Canis lupus familiaris: one gene and its partners. The protein of the gene in region 3 purifies or fractionates together with the protein of the main gene of each other region. This does not show direct contact. Links are inferred from orthologs where the notes say so. Each region holds a gene or a part of one and is shown on either strand. Other genes may lie near its edges. The genes, in order: BBS7, MKKS and BBS12.

The links.
Region 1: the proteins of BBS12 (region 3) and BBS7 purify together in Homo sapiens (co-immunoprecipitation; 3 studies listed by BioGRID and IntAct, counting the BioPlex papers as one, with this or other methods). This does not show direct contact. The link is inferred for Canis lupus familiaris from reciprocal best matches to the Homo sapiens genes BBS12 and BBS7.
Region 2: the proteins of BBS12 (region 3) and MKKS purify together in Homo sapiens (co-immunoprecipitation; 4 studies listed by BioGRID and IntAct, counting the BioPlex papers as one, with this or other methods). This does not show direct contact. The link is inferred for Canis lupus familiaris from reciprocal best matches to the Homo sapiens genes BBS12 and MKKS.

Annotation. Positions count from the first base shown.
Region 1 is NC_049240.1:19,137,666-19,142,754, reverse strand, and holds part of BBS7 (Bardet-Biedl syndrome 7 protein), read right to left. Parts: intron 3,036-5,089; coding exon 2,926-3,035; intron 2,791-2,925; coding exon 2,687-2,790; intron 2,559-2,686; coding exon 2,435-2,558; intron 348-2,434; coding exon 214-347; 3' UTR 202-213; exon of another isoform or gene 8-201; intron 1-7.
Region 2 is NC_049245.1:12,368,064-12,373,152, reverse strand, and holds part of MKKS (McKusick-Kaufman/Bardet-Biedl syndromes putative chaperonin), read right to left. Parts: intron 2,707-5,089; coding exon 2,531-2,706; intron 1,381-2,530; coding exon 1,270-1,380; intron 1-1,269. UniProt on the Homo sapiens protein: Probable molecular chaperone that assists the folding of proteins upon ATP hydrolysis. Plays a role in the assembly of BBSome, a complex involved in ciliogenesis regulating transports vesicles to the cilia.
Region 3 is NC_049240.1:18,368,669-18,374,488, forward strand, and holds the start of BBS12 (Bardet-Biedl syndrome 12 protein), read right to left. Parts: upstream 3,248-5,820; 5' UTR 3,096-3,247; exon of another isoform or gene 3,084-3,095; intron 3,068-3,083; exon of another isoform or gene 2,982-3,067; intron 2,649-2,981; exon of another isoform or gene 2,315-2,648; intron 1-2,314. Other genes in the region: centrin-4, read left to right, coding at 3,556-3,558, 4,943-5,089, 5,487-5,615. UniProt on the Homo sapiens protein: Component of the chaperonin-containing T-complex (TRiC), a molecular chaperone complex that assists the folding of proteins upon ATP hydrolysis.

The DNA of each region.
Region 1 (5,089 bases), about 770 kb from region 3:
CACTTGCTCCAAAATAAAAATTCTCTTTATTTTTAAAAAGTTCCATTTCTCAAAATAGAAGCATTAGTAAAGGAAGTCACATCTTAAATGTTTTTAGATTATATTAAAAAGCATTTGAAATACAAGTATGTACAGTTAGCTTGTGCCATAATTCTGTTTTAAAATATTTCGTTTAAAAAGACAACTTCTTTGGAACTTTACCTTGTGTACATTTCATGCAGCATCAAAGAAAGCAATCAATGCATTTTGGTCGTAACTGTCCAGAATCTCCAGTAAAAGAGGCACTCTGGTTTTTACATTGGTGCCTTTGAACTTGAACTTATCTATGAAAAGATCAGTGATCATGCCTATAAAGAAAAATGTTAATTTCTTGTCATTGATTAGTTCTAATTAACACAGTTCTTAATGAAAGTGATACCTGAGAATCTATTTCTAAGCACTCATTAACTGCATTTTTAAATATATACAAAACTAAAAGTATTGATATTTTTAAAAATATTTATTTGGGGGGATTTTAAGGCAAGTTTCAAAACAAATAATTTGGCTAGTAATCCTCTTATTAGTTAAAAGCTACTAAATTCAGAAAATTAACTGCTGACATGCTGTGAACTGCTATTGGTATATATGTAACATCACAAGTGGTTTTATTTTTCTTCCCAAGCTGACCATTTTGACAAAATGTAGACAGATTCTGTTTTTTTTTTTTTTTTTTAAGATTTTATTTTTATTTGAGAGGGAGCAAAAGAGAGCCTGAACAGGGTGAACGGGGAGGAACAGAAGGACAGGGATAAGCAGACTCCTCACTGAGCAGGGAGCCCCACTTGGGGCTCAATCCCAGGACTTCAGGATTATAACCTGAGATAAAGCAGATGCTTAACCAACTGAGCCACCCAGGTACCCCAACAGATCTTGTTCTTAACAGTTCTATTTGAATTAAACTATTCAATTAATATGATGAATATTCTTGGAATTTATCTAAGATGTGTTTCAGAATTTTTCATATTTTAGAAAGATAATAAAAGGAATACATCATATATGGCATAATATCCAAGGGAAATGAGCGGCAGCATCTGAGAACAAAACATAATAGTGGGACGCCTGAGTGGCTCAGCGGTTGAGCCTCTGCCTTTGGCTCAGGGCATGATCCTGGGATCCGGGTTTGAGTTCCACATTGGGCTCCCTAAGGGGAGCCTGCTTCTCCCTATGCTTATATCCCTGCCTCTCTCTGTGTGTTATTTATTTATTCTTTCATGAATAAATAAATAAATCTTTAAAAACCAAAAAAACACAATAGTGTTTTTGCGGCAAAATATATCGATAAATATTCATACTAAGTAGAATAAAAATGACTATAAATAACCTCAATTGTCAGTTTAAGTGAGGTTTTGTCATTAAATTATTAATTTAGATCAAGTCAAATTTGCTGCCAAATAATTTATAAAAGTTTTAGTTTTCAAAGCTTTCTAGATTTTGGAACTTGTGATAAGAGATGGTTTTGTACCACCCATCTTCTAAGTTATTGTAAGGATAAAAGATTATGTGTTTGCCATATAATCAATATTAAGATACTAGATTTTATTGTTATAGTTTGTGAGCAAGTCCCTGGGTATAAAATTCATTAGGCAGGCTCAAAGATCAGTGTGGATTGATGATACCAACTGACTCTACAGAAGATTTGGTATAGTACAAAAAGCAAGCATTTAGGGATGAGGAAATTATAATGCAGGCTGTGCTACTACCTATGTGACAACAAACTTTTTAGTCTCAGGTTTCAGTTTAAAAAAATGTGAAAAATAACGGTAACACCATCTACCTTGCAGAACTGTTGGAAGGATTAAATATCTGATTAATGAAGATATTGTAAAGAAACGTGCTCTGCACATAGATATTATATAAAGATCACAAAAAAAATGTTTTCCTTAAGCTGTTCTATCCTTTCTCTCTCTTCCTATATGTCTCTCTCTTGCTCTCGATGTTTTTCAAGACAATTTGTGAAACACCCAACTTGTCACCATCAAAGCAAAACAAGTTTTCAACTGTAAATTGACAGCACATATATATCCCTTACATTTTGTCTAAAAAATATTAAATGTTGCATTTTGATATTTCACATTATCATCATAACCTAAAAATTATTTGTGTGAAATACAGCCTACATTTTAATACTTCATAGGCTATATTCATTTCACACCAGATTTCTTCATATACAGATTAATTTACTGCATTACATGTATTTCACTTAACTTTTATTTTGTCAAGTAAAAATATTAATTAAAAAAATTTGACAAAATATTCAATGAAATAAATTCGTTGTCACTGGTTCATGATTTTTATAATCTTCACTTACCTTTCTGCCTAGCTTCTCTCACATGATCCTCCACAAATAGCCAGCAGAAAAGAAATATAGCAAGATTTTCTAGAATAGTCTACTAACCGTACAGTCTTTCAAGATGTGCAGGTTGCTTTTTGTATTCTTCCTGTAGGTGATCTGCTTCTTCTAGAATACAGCGATATTCCGGTATCAGAAAGTCTGTATTTCCCTCGTGAACCTGCAATTCCTTATTTAAAATAAAAAACAAAGGCCTTTAATGTTCAAAGTTAAATCCATGTAACTTTAAAGTCTATAATTTTAGAAATCCCATCACCATAAAGTAATGATCATGAGTCCATGTAAATGTATACTTACTTTTAAAGCATCAATTAATTGCACTTTCTTAGCCAAAAGCAACTGGTACTCCAGCTTTGGGTGGATTAGCTTTAAAGTGTGTTTGACGGATACTTCATTTATCTCTAGAAGAAGGTGAGCCAGGCACGATTAGCTAAGTCACTTTGATCAGAAACATTCTTATTGTAACAACAACGAAAAACCAATACCCCAGAAAGAATGATTTTTCTTCTTCTTTTTTTTTTTTTTTTTTTTTTTACCGTATGATATGTTGAGGTTAATTTTCCTTTTGGTAGCTTCTTTAGACAGCACATCTTTGAGGATGGATATAGTAGAAATGTTGTCAGATTTAAAAATTCCTTCTCCTTTTCTATAAAATTAATATATTTTTAAAAGAACAACTTTAGAAGAAAATAAATATAGTAAGTAGGTCCAGTAAATACAATACTTTATAACCAGTACTTGGTGTTTAGAATTCATTTGATTTTAGATTTCTTTATATACGTATCTCATTATTAATATAAAGCATACTTAAAATGTGTAATCTTTTACTGTTATACAAAGTTTTCATGTGTTTTCATGTGAACAAAATTGTGAAACTAAATAAAAGATGTTAGATATATGCCTCCCAAACATACGTCAATACATGTAAGTCATTAAAGCATCTTTTTTCTTTACTTTGACTAATAAAATTCCCAACAGCTAATTCTGTATGTATATGAAATGCACTTAGAATTGCTTATTACACATAAGTATATTTTTCTTCAACGTACTCACACAAATTACAACAGGACTACATTCTTCATTCTTAAAAGAAAGCTGATACTAAACATAAGAATAATAGCTCTGTTTTTCCATGCCCATCATCCATTGCCATTTCTTACAGACACAGGAGCCGTCATCTTCTTTACAGAACCACTTCTTTTTTCTCTAACCCTCCTCAATCCATATAGTTGACCCTCGAACAATGTGGGGGGTTCGGCTGCCAAACCCCTGCAGTCAAAACTCTGCATATAACTTCTGACTACCCATGGGATCCCTGGGTGGCGCAGCGGTTTGGCGCCTGCCTTTGGCCCAGGGCGCGATCCTGGAGACCCGGGATCGAATCCCACGTCAGGCTCCCGGTGCATGGAGCCTGCTTCTCCCTCTGCCTGTGTCTCTGCCTCTCTCTCTCTCACTGTGTGCCTATCATAAATAAATTAAAAATTAAAAAAAAAAAAATTTAACTTCTGACTACCCAAAAACTTAACTAGCAATAGCCTACTGCTGACCAGAAGCCTTACCAATAATATAAACAGTCAATCAACACGTATCTTGTATGTCATATGTATTATATACTATATTCTTACAGTAAGTTAGAAAAAAGAAAATGTTAAGAAAATCATAAGAAAATACATTTACAGTACCATACTGTATTTATTAAAAAAACTGTATATAGGTGGTCTCTCACAGTTTAAACTTGTGTTGTTTAAGAGTCAACTATAGTTTCACTGGCACTGGCCTCAACCCTTTTTGTGAGACTTTAGGAGGAAGCATTTAGCAATTTGTCACTAAATGTGACATTCCTGACCACAATGGTTCATGGCTCTACAATGACACTCAATCCTGGGACTTTTATTGGAAACAGTGGGAAAGAAAGGCTCGATATTAGCTGAAAAGATAGAAAACTGGATAGAACTGCTGGTGGCCACAATGATACTTAATTGGAAAGCCAAAAAGAGACAAGAACAGAGCTGAGCAATGGAAAGGGATGGTCTTGATGACATCAGTTAAGCCAGTGACCCAGTTGTGCCTAAAGCAGATTACTATGGACTTTTAAGTTATATGAGCTTTTATTTGGTATGTTGGTCTACCTGTATTTGGTTCCTTTTTATGATAATCAAAAGTTTCCTAATCAATATATATACCATCTTTCATGTATGAAATGCTGTCTTTTTTTTTATTTTCACACACCCTAATAGTTTATATTAACTACCTGTAGACAAATGCTAATTCTTTTTTTTTCTAGGAAGATGACTCCTATATTATTTTGATTCCAATTATGTTTTAGAAATCATGATATTTTCACTAGTCTTTAATTTTAACTGATGATATTTAATATTAAACACATAGTACCTAGCACTGTGGCATGATTCACAAGATTTACATTCTTTAATCAATCATCACCACTCATTGAAGTGCTATTATTTCTATCCCTCAGAAAAGAAAACTGAAATCAGTGAAATAATCCAGATAGATCAAATAGCTGATAAGTCACAGAGTCATGATTCAAACCTAATGTCTGCCTCTAAAGCACACTTTCTCCATATTACATGTATTTTTAAGTACCCTAAAAATATTTGAGCACCACTATGTTCAAAGCCATGTAGTAGGTACTTGGAGGAAACATATAAAGATAATTAAGAAATTGACTATGCCCATAAG
Region 2 (5,089 bases), on a different chromosome or scaffold from region 3:
TCCCTCTGCCTGTGTCTCTGCCTCTCTCTCTCTCTCTGTGACTATCATAAATAAATAAATAAATACCTTAAAAAAAAACTTAAAAAAAAAACAAAAAACAAAAACCCATATCTAAATTATTTCAAAGCAGCAATCGCTTTTTTTTTTTTCTGCCCAGGTGGTATGAACCAGATGAGACCATTTTTACTGTGTATTCTTTTCCCATATTTTCAGTGCTGTGTTGTTTCTTCAAAATCCTACTCAAAAAACTTTCCTCTTCCAAAAAACTTTTTCTAGTTTACTTAATTCAATTTGCAGGCTATATTATTGTATATTCAGCATCAATACATGGGCACTAATTTTGTTTTTCGTAATGTATATTCTAGTAACCTTTCATGAATGGACTTTATCATCAAATAGATTTTAAATCATTTTGGGAACCAGGGTGGGGTATATCCGTAAAAAGCATGTATTCTCTCTCTAATCCTAGTCAGCCACTGGAAGCTATGCAGTCTCTCTTGCTTTCTTTTTTTATTTTTAAAGTTCAATGCAGGGCTCGAACTCACAACCCTGAGACTTGAGCTGAGTTCGAGTCAGAAGGTCAACTGACTGAGCCACCCAGCCACCTCCTGCAGTCTCTTGATAACATTCCTGACTAACCAAAGAATCAACTGCAAATATCTGGAAAACACATACCTTTCTGTATCCATTTTCAAATAAAGTAGGTCAGTATTTATGAAATAATCAGAACTATCCTGCACTAAGTTTATCTATTATCAGGACACAGAGTTTCTTAAAATGAATAAAAAACATTCTATTTGATAGAATTTATATCATAAATAGATGCAAATTTAAAAATTATAATAGAATCTAGTGCTTAGAATGCTTTATTAAATGAAACTAAGTCTTTTCTTGATAGTCCAGAAGGTACTGAGTATTTTATAGAATCTTAATACTTTCATTATGACTATCAATTATTATCGTACCGCGGCAGTTGAAATCTGTATATAATTTACATTACCAGAATGCTCATTTCAACACGCAGTATTTCACAATACTCAAAGATTGTGATCATTTGGTGAAAGGCTGGATTGATAATAATCGTTGTGATAAAGATACTACCTTATATTTGCAAGTATTATTTTCCTCAAGTGTTTTCAAATACAAAATCTGAATTATACTACTGAGAAAGTAAGCATTAAAGGCTGCAGGGTATTGTGATTTGGTTTATTATCTATAAAACAAATGTTGCTGAGAATTTAGATAATCTGAGCAGACTACCTAACCTACCTTGTGTCTGATATATGCTGCCAAATGAGTTTCAGTACAGCCGCCTCCCAACAAAACACATGGTTCCTTGATGGTTAATTGCAAAACATGCAGTGCAGTTTGACATGTGAGCTAAAAAAGAGACGAATTATCAGAATCAGACATTGGCATCAGACACACAAAGAAATATAACCATGTTTTCAAGGGAACTTACGTAGTAGACTCAGAGCTGAATTTTAGTTGCAAAAGAAAAAACTTGTGTTGCCAAGGTTGTAATGTAATTAATACATTTTGGAATAATAAAGATTAGAAATTAAAGAAAAATACTTTAGCCAGATGTTTGTCTCCATGGACAAGATTAATATCATCTTTCATATATACTTCGTTCTTCAAACTGAGATTCACAAATGGATGGCCTCAAAATAACTGGGTCAGCAAGGTTTGCTAGTATTTCTACTAAAAAAAATTATTTCAGTCTAAATAAGTTAGCTGTATACCTGCTATAGAATATTCAAGTTGCTGTGGAAGTAATAATATCTACAATCCAGTAGTAATAAAAACAGAGACCTTTCATATTTACCAAAGATATATTCTTGAGTATACATGAATCCTTAAGATTGTGACCAATACCACAGGTTATCACTTTTTTTTTATGATTTTATTTATTCATGAGAGACACAGAGAGAGAAAGAGAAAGAGAGAGAGGCACAGACACAGGCAGAGGGAAAGCAGGCTCTGTGCAGGGAGCCCGACATGGGACTCGATGCCGGGACTCCAGGACCACGCCCTGGGCCAAAGGCAGGCACCAAACCGCTGAGCCACCCAGGGATCCCCCAGTTATCACTTCTAAGTTGCGTTTGTTATTGCTGGTAGAAGACAATAAATTCTATTAAGAGGTGGATGATGGGTATGGCTGGGGAACTAATTTTCTCAGTGAATTATTCATACACATTAGCATAAAAAAGTACAGAGTTCAAGTTAATTACTAAGAAAGTTCACATGTTAAAAAAAAAGAAAAGTTCACATGTTAAAGATCTTTACATTGCTTGTAAATACTAGAAATAGTAACTGGTAGCACTTGCTACCAGTCTACTGTAATATCACAGGTAAGTAAATCAGCTTACTTATGACTTTAATTCCATCATTTTTGTTGTTTTTGCTTTCTATATCACCTGGGAAAGTTACAAAAAACAAAATACATAGCTCACCTATATGAAAAAAACTATTGTCTATTTAATCCCTGCCTCAGCCCCTAGATAATGGAATGCAGTCTGTGACCTACCTTCAGCTCATCCCAGGCAGTATCATTTCTGTTGCAGAGAAGCAAGCTGCAGATAGTTGCTTCATAAGGAATAAGATGAAGAAAATGTTTGAAGCCAAATTTTGCAGGGCACAAATCTTTCACACTTCCATAACTACTAGGAGAGATTGAGCCTATGGAACCAATAGGCTGTGTTCCTATTTTTTAAAGTTTAGAAAACACAAAATATATGAGTAAAGATGGAACTTAATAATCATTTAAAATTGATTCTTAGCCAATATTAAAAGTCCCACAAGCATATACTTTAAAACGTGAAATATAAATAACAAGATGCTTCTAATACCTATAAGTTATACAAGTAGTATTCTATTAAAATGATATACAAATAAAGCAGAGGTTCTTTTGGTTTATAGACTTCATTGAACATCTGTTAGGAGCTATTTTGTATTCTCTAGAAAAAGGCACACAGAAATGTGAGTATATTTTCTGGGAGCTTAAAAAATTTGCAGGAGCCCAGAAAATAATCACTGAACAACTAGACTTCTTTGAATAGATTTTTCTCTTCTGAAGCCTCAAAGATTAAGGAATACTTGGATGATCTAAAATTTAAGGATTAAAAAAAAAACCTACAAGATTTATTATCTCATTTGGTGGGTGCAACAGAAAATCTCTGTATTGAGAGGATCTGGCTCTGCAGCTTATGACCCACTGGACACGAAGCAAGTCACTCATGTCACTAATTTTTCTGAATGGGTCCCCCTACAGGAGTAAAATGGGGATGGTATTATCTCCTTCACAAATAAAACAAATCAAAGGTTCAATCTTCTGTATGCCCATGACAAGCTTCAAACACACCAGGGGCCCATGCACAATAGCCCTACTTAATCTGTATCAATAAGGAGGAATGTTGTCTGAAAGGGGGGAGGATGGAGGTAACATTAACTTAGATAAACAAGGGACAGTGGAAAACATAGTTTATCTGAGCCATGGGCTCAGGTATAGTTGTTTTCCCCCTTCATCTCCAAAGGTCTTTGCTCCCAAGAACCAGGATTAAAGCTGTGGCTATTTACACTATGTTCTAATTATATATGGGATAAATAAGAATTGTTGGCTGGTATGGTAACCCAGTGCCCCCTTGAACTATTTTTTTTTTTTTTTTTTCTAAGATAGGTAGAGACACAGGCAGAGAGAGAAGCAGGCTCCATGCAGGGAGCCTGATCTAGGACTTGGTCCCAGGACTCCAGGATTACGCCCTGGGCCGAAGGCAGACGCTCAACCACTGAGCCACCCAGGTGTCCCTAAACTATTATTTCTATGGCAAAATGTTTCACATTTTAATATTTTTGAAGTATATATTCTTAAAAAGATTTTATTTATTTGAGAGTGAGAGAGAATGAGAGTGCATGAGCAGGGAGGAGGCGGGGAGGGAGAGGTAGAAGCTGACTCCTTGCTGAGCAGAGAGCCTAATGAGAGACTTAATCCCAGGACTTTGGGATCATGCCCTGAGCCAAATGCAGACACTAAACCAACTGAACCACCAAGGCACTCTGTTTTTGTTGTTGTTGTTGTTTTTGTTGTTGTTGTTAGAGAGAGTGAATCTTTAAAACTCTCACAACCCTGAGATCATGACCTGAGCTACAATCAAGAGTAGGACACTTAATCCACTGAGCCACCCGGCTCGAATTTAAAAACTAAATAATCTGTAATACCCAATATTTACAACCGGAAAAGTCATGAAAAACCAGTAAATATTTAAAACTATGGGTCTAATCCAGAACATCAACAATGAGTTCCACAGAACCATTTCCATTATTTAATAATTTCCACTTTGACAATCGTGGACAGCCTTATAAAGATAGGGCAATAACACAGATATTAGGTATTCAATACTGACATACATACTACCACCTTTTAATGACTTGTTAATAACTAAAAACTAAAAATAGTAAACTTTAACAATGGCTTGTCTGATAAGTGTTGCAATTGATCAGAATGGAATGACTGATATCAATGCAATTAAAGGGATATTGAAAGTGGCTCAAATCATGAACTCTACATTGTCAGGTTTCTTTGGCTGTAATTAATAGGTGAATATCAACCTTATGTCTGATTTTAATTTACAAAATACAGTGAATTTCTTGCCTGTTACAATTCTGTATCTTATCACGTTAGTCAGTTAAACAAACGTTTTAGAACACCTACTGTGGACCAGGCCTGTTGTCCGTACTAAAAATAAAAGACAGTCCTGATTCTCAAGGAGCTCAGCTGGAAATATCTGGGATATTTAAAGCTAGTGTGCGCACACATCCACCCACCTACCCACCCCTAATTACGAATTTAGGCAGAAGTACAGTAGTGAAGAGGTAGAAAAGTAGAGAAAAGGAGATATTTTAGCTATAAAATTACCTTCTGAATATAATGGAAGAGGTTTGTAATATTCAAGTAGAAGAATTTTGTGTAAAGTATTAAAGACCTTAGGATTGTGAAGCTGTTAAACTTCTCCATATTCCTAAGGTATTTGGGAGAGTTAATGGTTTTAGATTTTTAACGGATTCTGTAGCCTTTTTGGGATTGGAAAAT
Region 3 (5,820 bases):
AAGATTTTATTTTATTTTATTTTTAAGATTGATTTATTTATTCATGAGAGATACAGAGAGAGAGAGAGAGAGAGAGAGAGAGGCAGAGACACAGGCAGAGAGAGAAGCAGGCTCCATGCAGGGAGCCCGACGTGGGACTCGATCCCAGGTCTCCAGGATCAGGCTCTGGGCTGAAGGCAGTGCTAAACCACTGAGCCACCCGGGCTGCCCTGAGCCAAAGGCAGATGCTCAACCACTGAGCCACCCAGGCGTTCCTAGGTGAGAACTTTAATTGCTTCCAAAATGGTTCCTCCTTCACATGGTTGTCAGAATTATCTTTGCAAAGCATAAACCTAATTAAAGCATTCCATTATCTAAAAACATCTATTTATCTTAGAAAATAAAATCTTTACTCCTTAGTTTGACATAGGTGTCCTATAATCGGACCTCAGTATAATTTATGACTCATTTTCCACCTTTCTTTATGAATCCTAAGATCTTGCCTCACTAGAACATTTATTTTCATTTTTACACATGCTATATTCAGATTTAATATCCCACCCTTTCTTCATCTTGGCAAATGCTATATATCTTTTATCACCCAAGGCAAATGCCACATTTTTGATACAATCTTGTCCAATGCCCCAGGAAGTCCAGCCTCCTTCCTGGGCTCAGTCACTTTCTACACACACATGTACTAAAGCATTTAGCATCCTGAATTTAAAACTCTGTATCTATGTCTGTCCCTTTCTCTCCCACTAATCTGTGGGTTCCTTGCTTTTATTCATCTTTATACTCAACACTCAGTTCCTTTCAAACTCAATAGTTGACACAGTATAGGTCATGTGAAAAGCAGTAGGTAAATTTAGTAGATTTAAGGGTGCCAATGGATTTAATATTTTCCTAGACTAATCATTATCATTACTATTACTAATGTTTTATAATACAATTAGATTAGTAATGGCTATTTTTCAAGACTAAGTATTTCTTACCTAAGAACTAGAAATTGCAATCTGAGCCTATCATCAAAAAAAATCATTGTTACTAGAAGTTAGCTTCCTAAGTATAAGACCCTAAATCATAAAGTGATATCAAAGCAGGTTAACATATTACTCAGCCTTTGAACTGCCATGAGATTAAACTTGATCTAGGTTAGAATTTGATTCTATATATTTGGTCACTATTCATTTCTGGGTCTCAGAAGTCCCCTTAATATTAGTCGTAAAGATAAAGTAAATGTCCTTAAAACTAATCAAGAGCAACTTTCCCAGTGAGATTATGGCTGAAAAATCAATATACAGTTAACCTTTCTAGGGGGCCCAACCACTGCACAAGTGAAAATCGAAACATAACTCTTACTCCCCCAAACCCTAACTACCAATAGTCTACAATTGTTTGGAAACCTTACCAATACTATTAGTAGTCAATTATTACATATTTTATATGTTACATGTATTATATACTGTATTCTTACAATAATATTTTTCTTATTTTTTTTTCAGTATCTCTAGTGTCTTAATAATATCTCTAGTATCTTGTAGTACCTCTACAAGGTTCAACTGGTAGTTTTTTTCAAATTGTGGCAAATCCCCCCCCCCCCCCCAAATCCACATATATGTAGGCCCACACAGTTCAAATCCTTGTTGTTCAAGCAAGGGTCTACTGTATTATAATCAAGCGAATAAACACTTTACTTAACTCACAAAATATCTTGAACTTGTGTAATTTTAATTTCCACTGCAACTTTATACATAAAAAAATCACTTCCTATATTAGAATAGGTGATCCCTGGGTGGCTTAGCGGTTTAGCGCCTGCCTTTGGCCCAGGGCGCGATCCTGGAGTCCCGGGATCGAGTCCCGCGTCGGCTCCCTGCATGGAGCCTGCTTCTTCCTTTGCCTGTGTCTCTGCCTCTCTCTCTCTCTCTCTCTCTCTATCATAAATAAATAAATAAATAGTAATAAATAAATAAATAAATAAATAAATAAATAAATAAATAAATAAATCTTTTTTAGAATATTAGAATAATCTTATCAGTTTTCCAGAATCCTAACGTGTTGTTTATCTATGATTACAAAGCCTGGGTAACTGGGATAGAAGGTGAACCAGACAGGATGATGGTTTTGGAGAATGTGCCGTGTTTCTACATATTACAATAGGAACGGTGATTTGGGAGACTGCTTCAAGAATGTACTTTGCACATTTTACCTGCCCTACCTGCAGGAGGTTAAGTGGGAGAAAGGGGAGGGGGAAAAAACCCAGCTAGGTAAAAATTAATGTTCCTATCAATCCACTGCTGCAGAATCCAGTATGATTCCTGGAAAATAAAGTACTTACTCTGCAGAAGGCACTGCAGGAGGCATAACGAGAGCCCTGGTGCAGAGCCCTGATGCGTAAGGAACAGGGCTGCAGGTTTGAGGAGCTATCTCCTCTTCATTTCTACCAGGAAGTCAGAGGTCCACCTCATTCTCTCCCACCCTTTAGCTAGTCTCTGACCGGATTCACGACTGGACAAACCGACAAGTCCAGCCCCGTGGACAAGAGTTTGCTTGGAGCTGCAGCAGTTAGGGGCTGGCCAGCAGGATTATGAGGCTGCGTCTCTGCTGGATACCAGGCCTGGAAAGCCGCCCGAACCTCATTCATTCAGCCACAGGCATGGCCGAGGGTGAGCCTCGGGGGGGGGGGGGGGGTGGTCGGGGGAGGTGTCTGATCGTGATTTCGGTTGGAGCCAAAGTCCTACCGGCCAGCAAATGCTGCAGCGCTGGCAAGGGCGCGCGCGGCGAGGCGAGGCGCAGCCCAGCACCAGCCCCGCCCGCCCCCGCCCGCCCCCCTCCACCCCTGCGGCTGCCGCGCCGCATCCCTCAGACCCCGGCAAGAGGGAAACACTACAGGCCAAGCCCCAGGCACGGAGGCCAAAAACTATCTAGCGGCCCTGGGGAAGCTCAGTCCCCTCCACCTCCGATAACCCCAGCAGGGTCGTTAAGCCAAGACTGGATCAGTTTACCCGGCCCGCCAGGCCCCGGTTCTCATTCTTTCTCCCGGGGCTCGAAGAGGGCAACAAAGCAAACGGGCTCTCCGCGCCTGCACTAAAGACTTCTGGAAGTACCTCGCGACGAACCTCGCTCCTCTCCGTCCTCACGCGAGGCTCCAGACCCCCGCTTGCCCACCTCGGGCGGCGGCGTTCCCGCGGGCACCCGGGCGCCGAGGAACCGGGCGGAGGACGCCCCCCTCTGGGCCCGCACTCTGCGCATGTGCGAGGCGGAGCGAGCCGGCGGCCGGCGGGGTGGGGCAGGTCTCTAAGATTACCCCGACCGAGAGTTCTGCCCGCGGTCGGCTCGGAAAAGCAGAGCGCTACTCTATTGGTAGAGAGCAGAGAGAGGGGGCGGGCCTCAGGGCCCTGATTTCTGTTCATTGGGTGGAATGACTGTCAATCAGTAGGCAAATCTGGTGGGCGGGGCTTCTGGAGAGCGGGGCGAGAGCGGCCTTAGCAACGGTTGCTGAGCCGGGGAGACTGCAGCAGGGCGGTGCGGCTGGCGGCTGAGACCGGGAGGTCCCGGCAAAGGGCACCGCTTGGTGACATGGTGAGTGCCAAGCCGGTAAGCCCTTGCTGGGCCGGGGCCGGGGTTGAAGTGTCACCTCGGAGCAAGGAAGGAATTTTGTTTGGTTTATGCAATGTATTATTGGCCTCCTGATCCTCGAGTGTCATTTAGTGGCGCCTCCTCTCGTGGCCCAGGGGAAGCACGTTGCCCCTGGCTCTGGGGGACAAGCCAGGGCGGGGCTCCAGTTCATTCTTCCCTCGTCGACCCCACCAGCCGTTGATACCCGCGCTCTGCGATAGGTTCCGTGATGGAAACGGAAAGGAATTGAGGACGGAGAATAAGAGGCTTAGAAGCTGTTGGAAGGGGCAGCCAGGGTGGCTCTAGCGGTTTAGCCCCGCCTTTGGCCCAGAGTGTGATCCTGGAGACACAGGATCGAGTCCCGCCTGGGGCTCCCCGCAGGGGGGCTGCTCTCCCTTAAGCAAATACATCTTTAAAAAGAAACTGTTGGAGGGTCTAGACCTCTAGAAAAGAGGTCCTGAACTCGGAGAAAGTGACCGGCCAGGGTAGCTCCGCCCTCCCACTCTTGGGAAGGTAAAGGTCCTAAAGGCTGGAGCTGTTAAGTTGGAGATCACACCGGTGTATTTGCAATCCGAGGCCAGAGAATCCACCGCTGCCACGAGGAACCCTTAATCCACGTGAAACCCGAGGCTAGGTGCCCAGGAACGCGAGGTCCAGCTGCCGTCCCTGCTGCCACTGCTGCCTGACCGGAAGCTGGAGACCAGATACCGAAATAAGGCTGCAGCAACACCCCAGAAGCAACTCTTTGACCTTGCTTGTCAGCGGGGATTGGCACAAAGCAGCAAGATGACCTCCACCATACCCCTGGATACTGATAATTAGCCCAACATTTATTCTTACTCAGATCCCTGGAATAGTTTTTCACCCGGAAAATGTAGGTGTTTTTTTCCCCGCCATTTCTCAGCTTCTGCAATATAGAAAAGTATGCTAAAAGATGGGAAAGGATATTATGTTTCGGTCAAGCATATCCCACAAAAGAAACAAATTTTATTATGAGACATAGAGGCCTAGATAAAAGGGATGCCTTAGGCACTGCTTTTCAAATATACCAAGTAAGGCCAGTCGTATTGGAACTTAAGATCTACTGTTCAAGCATGCGTGCCTTTGCCTCTTCTTTCTTTCAAAGGCACTTGTTTGTTGAAGGAAAAACTTGAGTGGTAAAAAGAACCAGGCTTTCCACCAAGATATTAATAACTAAAAGTACAAATGTTAGCAAAGGGGAAAGGAGGAAATTGCTGATGGTCATTGTGTAGTAGGGAATAGGGTTCTTGAGTATGCTTATTTATCATTGATTATTCTGGTTCTGGTAACTTTTCCAGTTATTCATGCATATGCGTATTTATTACAGGCATCCAACTATTGTATAGGTTCAGACCAATGGAAGAAAAGAGCAGCAAAACTTGAATTGAATGAAACCCAAAAGCAAGAAATTAAAGAGGCCTTTGATTTATTCGATGTTGATGGGTCTGGAACCATAGATGTGAAAGAATTGAAGGTTTTGAAATTACTTCTAATTCTAAAACATTGTAAAAACCATTACTTATTTGTGCCAATTTTTCAATCTTTAACAGCAGCCTTCTAAAAGCTCAGTATAAAATCTCCTCAGTGTGGATACCTGCACCTTCAGTGTATACACCTACCCCATACTAACAAAATAGTATCACGTTAGGCATTTTACTCTTGTTTTATGAATGAGTAAAACAAAACACAAGATCTGACAGTGACATATCCTATGGCATAGTAGGATTGGAACCTACCTAGGCCTGCTGACCTGACTTTCTAGGTTTATGCATAGTCCATAGTAAAAAAGAGAAAATCTAGTCATTAAGAGGTAATTTAAAAACTAGGAATGAGATTGTGGCATAGTATAATTTATTTGCTTCCTATTTCAGATTGCAATGCAAGCCTTAGGATTTGAACCAAAGAAAGAAGAAATTAAAAAAATGATAGCTGAAATCGACAAAGAAGGAATTGGCACCATTACTTTTGAAGATTTTTTTGCCATAATGAGTGTAAAAATGGTATAGTAGTGATTTTGTTTTTCAAAGAAATATAAGCAATAACCTACATTTTTTCAAAGAAATATAAGCAATAACCTGATTTCTGCTCCTGATAATCAGAGGTTTCACAGAGGAAGACTTTGAAGATGGACGGGATTTAGATAGTTAGACAGTTAGCAAGATTAAAGATTATTTCAGGGTAATAATGAAGACTGTTCAGTGTGGA